Linked DNA regions of Drosophila melanogaster. The protein of the gene in region 1 interacts with the protein of each later gene in a pairwise test. Each region holds a gene or a part of one and is shown on either strand. Other genes may lie near its edges.

Region 1 (3,436 bases):
ACAACAATCGATTGTTATAAATTATTTTGCAGCTTTTGTAATTTGTTATGTGAACAACAAATATTGTCGAAAGCATAAAAAAACCTATTGAATCCTTGCATTCGCAATGACAGACTGCATATTAATGAGGACAGAAAAGAGTTTCGTTGTGCTCCTTAACCTTTCTTCAATTGAGAATAATAAGGAATAGTAAATTAAGGACTATATTTAAATAATAATATTGGTTATTTGTCCTATACCTAATTAATGTTTAAATTTTAAGCTATATTCCACTAACAAATGTATTAACTTCGAAAATGTTTTCTTTGAAAACAAAAAGTTGTATATCTTTTGTGTTAACGAATTCGTCTTTCTACTTATTTAAATTTGTTTATAGGGTTGGAGTTGTATGGCAATATATATATTCGAAAGATTAAATACATCTGCTCTAGGGCCGTTGCGGGTTGTCTATGTCTACGACTTAGTTAGGTGGTGGCCAACGCGGCGTATGCTTGATCTGCCGGGATGGTGCCGCAAGTCGCTCTTCCTGTGAGTGAGCGTGTATGTATGTTTTTTATGGAAATAATATTCTTGTCAGGATTAAAAAGGATACGTGACCGGAATACGAGTGAAATGTGCAAGCGGAAATGTGGCCAGGACAAAAAGGGCAGGAACAAAAAGCGGAAAAAGTAGACAAACAGGAGCCGCAACAGGACTAAAATGTATCTGTCAGACTCCTCGACTTTTGCTATCGTTGTCGCCTGTCGCGTATCTGTATCTATGTTTGTGCTTGTATTTGTCTTGCCAGCTCTTAGCACCACCGCCATCGTCATCATCATCATCATTTCGATGCTTATCCTTGCTTATTGTCCTGTCGGAAAGAGCTCGCTGCTGCTTCTTGTCTGCTACTTTTTTCCTTTTTAATTTTTAAGAAAGCATATTGTAATTCTGTTGTTTACCTGTTTGGACACTCGGATACACGTACTTTTTAAATCTCGACCGCAGGCGATCCATTGTTTTTTTTTTTTTCTTTCGTTCTTGCCAAATTGGAGTGCTCCCTCCCAATGCAATGCAAAGTCAGTCATTGGTCCTGTCATTTGTTATATTCTCCTACGCATCCTTGACAGCGGCTTAGCATCCTTGTTGTTATAGCTGCTTAGCTATTCGTGACATGTCCGGGGCAATGCCCACGATTGTGATGTATGATTTTCAATTCCACCTACGGCGAGTCCTTTTCTAGTATTGTTGAAATTATCCCTTGGCTTGAGCAACAAAAAATAGTATGGAATCATTTTTTTGTGGCTTATCGTGAGTTTACTTGGCGGCTAAGCTATGTGCTTTCTTCCTTTTAACTAAATCTTAGGTTCTAAACTAATTGAACATTTTATTTATTTCTTACTTCATCCTGTTGTCATAGCCCAATGCAAATGAATCACTTTTTGTTTATAAGGTAGAAACTTTTAATATTACATTCACAATCGGTTTTTATTTCAAATTAATTTATGATGAACGTTTAGGGTTTCTTATCTGGGTTGAAGCTTATTACTCATCGTCATGAATTCATATCGACTTCAGACATTACCTCACATAAACAAACTTAACTTTTAATAACTAATAATAATACTAAAAAATATATTCTGAGACACATACATATAGTATTATAGTATTTTATAGCCTTGTTTTGTCTCACATATAAAACGTATGTTATAAACATGGCGGGTATCATTTATTGGAATATTATCAGCTAATAATCAGGATGTTAGACATTGGTATAAATAAGCCATTGTATGTCACCTATCAATTGGCAATACTTGCATAATGATTTAACTTTACATAGACTCATGCGGAAAAGCATATAAAACTTGGGAAGAGTTCTGTTCCCATTTTGGCTTTAGTTATCACATTGGAATTTATTTGATAACAGTTATCCGCCGACCTGAAAATGCACTTCATCAGCAGAAATCCCCGTATTTGGCTTTAGTCAACAATTCCTGACTCAAAGTGGGTTTGCGGGCCTAGTGATAACATAATCTAATCTTTATAACCGACATAAAAGCCGCTTTTATTGAGGTAAAATGTTGGACTACAAATTGAGCAGCTATCGGCTACACTTGATTCAGTTTCGCTTGAGGTAGCCTTACGAAGAGTTGCGCTTATAATTATTAGGAATAATATTAACCTATCGAAATGTGGAAGAAAATAATTTTCTGTGTGGTGCTTGTGGCCTTTGTGGTTGTGCCGTTTGGTGAGAAGAAAAAGTGATCACAAAGTTGAATCTTTGCTAATGGAATATTTTTATATATTAGCCAACTCACTGACCTGCTCCAAGTGCACATCGCCGTCTGGATGCAAAAGTCCTTCCTCCGAAACCTGCTCCAATTCGACGGCCAATGCCAATAAGGAATTTCTGGAAGGATACCATAGTAATGTGCCCACCGTTAATGGCAGTCTGAGTTTTTCGTGTGCCAATCTCACTTACTATCATGCAGCAAGTATGTTTTTTTTTTTTCTGATTTACGCTTTTGAAAGAAGACATCCTAACTTGTTTTGCATCCCTTTTCAGACTACACTCACACCTTTGAGTTCCTGGGCTGCGTCTTCAACGAAACGAATGTCTGCAATCTTTCCCTGAACAACACCGCGAGTGGATGGAGCAAGAAGTGCCTCCAATGCGGCACCGACTACTGCAATCCAGCTGGAACCTACAGCAGCAGTGTCTATACAATCGTGGGATCCGCCATTGCCGTGATTTTGGCCAAAGTTCTAAGCTAAACTTATAATCTGACGACGGAGCTAAACAGTATTTCAACTACCTTTTGATTGTACAATATTTATTTGAATTAAAAATAAAATCATTTAAGATAACGAACAATGGGATCTTATCATAAAAAATGCGTAAAATTTTCTACATGGAAATCCAATATTGATTTTCATTTCTATCTTGTTCACCTAGGAGATCCTGACTGTTTGTTTAAGAGTCTTATGGGTACGCATTAATATATATTAGCTTATAAAGTTTACTAATCAACACAATTACAATCGTATTTATAAATTAAAGCATTTTTCTACAAGAAAAAAACTAATTAAGATGGACTAAAATGTAACCATTGCATATATTCTAGAAAATAAAAATGTAAATAATCTTTGACCATAAATCATGAAGAGTTGCCAATCAACTCTTCAAGTTAATGAGGTAAAAAGTTCCCCTTCCCAATTGCTACCAATTCTACGCAACAGACTTATCATTTATTGCATATAGATTTGGTGGGGACTAAGATAAGAGCTCTTTATTAAAGCCGCTCAGGTGTTAGATTACCAGGTTGTGACTAATATTTGAAACAGTGGGCTAGGCCCACGAATTTTACAAATAAAATTAAAAAGAATTTACGCTTAAATATATATATGTATTTATATATATTGCTGGAGGATTATGAAATGTTTGTTATTTCGGTAAAGC
Region 2 (3,760 bases), on another chromosome or scaffold:
CATAAATCAAGCGATGACAACGTGAACAACAACACCGGTAGTCACGCACTAAACTATAACTATAACTACGCGATTACACACAGCGATTAAGTTGCGGTTGGGGAGCTGCGCTGCGACTAAATAAACAGGATCCGAGGCGTTTTATGGCTTAGTGCGAGGGATATGTCAAAAAAGATGCGGTGAAATGCATAGGAAAACATAGTTTCACAACGAAAAACATCGATCGGTGTTCGAAGACGAAATCAGACCAAACCGAGCTGGGCCATAAAAAACAATATTTGTTTCCAATACTATTCCCAGCATAGGTCTAAAAATAAGCAAGCTAAACACGCAGGGCAGCGACATCTTCGAGAGAATCGGAGGACCATGGGCCATAGGATAACCCATTGTTTTATGACCCATTCTCACCAGCGGTAAGCGATCGTAAAATTTGAATAAATCGGGAGAGAGCGTGAAGAATCCTTTGTGGCATTGGCATCATCCACACATGTGAACTTCAATTGCTTCGGGCATTTTGGATTTTCAGTTCTTCGATTTGCGTTCAATGTTTTTATTTCTTTCAAATGATCTCTGCTTTCTACTTGAGAACGGAACGATCGTAAAAATCGAGCGTAGTCCTGTTTGAAATGTATACACAATTGTTTTACGACCTTTTAAGATATAGACCAAGACTTTCGGTTGCATTCGGAAAATTGCGTACTTGACTGCCGCGAGTTTACTCTCGCTTTCCTTCGTTCGCTCGGAAAAGTCGTAAAAATCGGAAGGCAACTGCCACGAGATAGCATGGGATGTCAAGGGACCAGATAATGCCGACTTCTGGCATTATCTTGCCAGCTGCTATCCGGTGGAATGTATAAACGGAGTGCTTCTTGGAATCGCTTTATTTAAATAATGTTTACAAACCAATTGAACTGACGAGTTATCAAAGCTCTTTAGTGAGTGCTATCAAGAGATTTGAAAGTTATAAAATGATTAAACATCTAAATGAACTTTTTCAAGCCAGAAAAAGGCTAAATTAGTGACTAACTCACGCAATGATTACATACATACATATGTAACCTATCATAATACTGCAGTATAATCTTTTTTAATAACTGGGACTAACGATGTACGCATGAGATCCTAGAAGCTTTACATTATTTCCAAAGATTTAAAAATTCCCTTTCAAGTGCCCGTAATTCAAGTGTAAACTTTGCTCGATTTTCATTTGTTGAAAAATCAAAATCTACATATTATTCAAAACACACTGGGACTCTCCCACACTCACTCACACATGGGGAAAAGGTCTTGACTCCGCCCATCGAGGAAAATACAGGCAAATGAGAATGGACATAAATAAACATGGAAAGAGTAGAGAACATATTTGTAGGAACGCCCCCTCAAAAGAGAGATCTGCCATATAACGGGTATATGCGAAAAAGATATAGTATAAGCAAGGATATTAATTAGTAATGATATAATCAATCTAAATCTAGTACTACAAAGTTAATAACTGAATACACTTAAATATTAACAACATCATCTTATTATATTATAACATAATAATCTCAAATATATTATACTTATTTCATATTTCAATTTATTCAATTTCTTCCTTAATAAAATTTAAATTTTTCAAGGAAAATTGTTTTCCCCTCTCTGAGAACTTACGCATGTGTGGATCTTTTGGTGAGGGTGTTTGCATATCCCTATATTTATAGACCAATGCGCTGCTCTCCCCCAAAAACACACACCCATAAGATTGGGATGAGGCATTACAAGTGATCTGCGTATCCGAGTTCATTCATTAGTCGATCGGACTTCTTGGCTGACGCAACACATGGTCCACAGTCGCGCTCGAATCGCCCACAAAATCGGAAGTAACAGCTAACCGGAAAACAGGACAAAAATCCTAAATATCTAACAAGTTAATGTGAAGTGATATTCGAAACAAAGTTCCCGAAAGATACATAAAGAGTATAAAAGAACTTTGAATCAAGTTACTGGGATTTCGTTTTGAAAAATGTTACCCTCTTGCTATGCCAATGGATCGATGCTGCCGGATAATGAGGAGCTGGTCAACTCCATGCTAGCGAATCCGGATTATCTCAGGACCCAGGTGTCACCCAATCCGCTGGCTCCAAGTGCCGTCGGAGGTGCGGGCATGGAGGGTCTGATGTGCGGATCGTTTTCACCGGCCTTCTACTACCAGGGCATCGATAGCTTTCTGGCCCTGCACAACAACATCTGGGGATTGCCTATATCCTTTCTGCACAACTCCCATCGACCGGAAAAGCCTCCTTTCTCCTACATTGCCCTCATCGCCATGGCCATCAGCAGTGCACCCAACCAGCGACTGACCCTCAGTGGAATCTACAAGTTTATCATGGATAAGTAAGTTAATTGAACAATACAAAAATACGAGATCTTTGATAGATCAATAAGTGAATTTAGTTTGTAAATCAGCAAATAAAATTTCCAATTTCTGTACATATATTCTACTAAAGCTCTTGTTTTTACAATCCTACAAAAATAAATGTTCCGCCTTGTCTTAAATCGAGGAAAATTTAGATGACATTCTTGGCTAAATCAAATGCCAAAATAAACAACCGCCACATTCCAAGTATCTGTACAAACCAAAGAAGTTTTTATCCCGAGAAGAAGTTTTTATCACGAAACTTTTGCCACAACTGGGATTAAGTCGGTGAAATATGGAGCATTAATCCAATTTCTTAATGTGAAAATATATAAATATCACGCAGATTACTTGGTAATTATCCATATGAAATGGTTTCATTTATTGGCTTAAATTTATTAGTCATATCTTTAACAAATATTAAAATATATATGTATATATTTCCTTTCCTGAATGAACAGAGTGCATAAAAAATGGCGGCCAGATATATAAAATAGATCGCAAGTAATTTGAAAAACAGGAAAATGAACAATGTGTTTGTAAACTAAATATTTCCGATTTCTTTATCAACATAAACAAATATTATTTTTATTGCTTTTTCAAATCGCTTGATTTAAACAAACCAGCGGAGGATATAGATATGGGCTAATAAGATGTGTATCAACAGCAAGTTTTTCAGATTGTAAAATGATTTTTATATATACAAATTCAGATATTCAAAGCTGTGAAATTCTGAAGTAAATAGTTTTGATAAACACGCATTCGATTTATATTTATAAAATATCTTTTCCATTGTTAATTTATTGAAAATAAAGTATATATGTTTACCCTTTCAAAATTTGATAAAAATGTCAAGGAAATATAGCTCCTAATTAATTAATTAATTGGATAATATCCAATTATTTTTTAGATTCCCATATTACAGGGAGAACAAGCAGGGCTGGCAGAACTCCATTCGCCACAATCTGTCCCTCAACGACTGCTTCGTGAAGATTCCGCGGGACAAGAACACAATCGAGGATAACGACAGTGCTGGGAAGGGAAGCTACTGGATGCTGGACTCATCGGCATCGGACATGTTCGAACAGGGAAACTACCGCCGGAGGAGAACGCGCAGGCAGAGGCACTGTGGCCATCCAAATCGCTACGAGAGGGAATCGGGAAAGGTATAATGCACATCTAAAAACTCATAAACAAATCGAATAAATGAATTTATCTGCAGGATTCAAATGATGGCAACAGTAGTGCAGCAGAGATTCGCTCGCCCAGCGAACCGCTGAGTGACTTCGATATCTTCTGCAACGAGCGGCCCAATTACTCCGACAGGATTACGGATCTGCACAGGCAGTACTTGTCCGTATCCCT

The links. The genes of interacting proteins can lie anywhere in the genome.
Region 2: the proteins of CG9568 (region 1) and FoxL1 interact in a two-hybrid assay, tested with the Drosophila melanogaster proteins (one large-scale study listed by BioGRID).

What each region holds. Positions count from the first base shown.
Region 1 is NT_033779.5:9,008,494-9,011,929, forward strand, and holds CG9568 (uncharacterized protein), read left to right. Parts: upstream 1-2,089; 5' UTR 2,090-2,166; coding exon 2,167-2,224; intron 2,225-2,285; coding exon 2,286-2,471; intron 2,472-2,542; coding exon 2,543-2,751; 3' UTR 2,752-2,865; downstream 2,866-3,436.
Region 2 is NT_037436.4:4,017,092-4,020,851, forward strand, and holds the start of FoxL1 (forkhead box L1), read left to right. Parts: upstream 1-1,786; 5' UTR 1,787-2,002; coding exon 2,003-2,373; intron 2,374-3,305; coding exon 3,306-3,561; intron 3,562-3,617; coding exon 3,618-3,760. UniProt on the Drosophila melanogaster protein: Transcription factor. Coordinates the placement and migration of various organs during embryogenesis, including the salivary glands, hemocytes, germ cells and Malpighian tubules.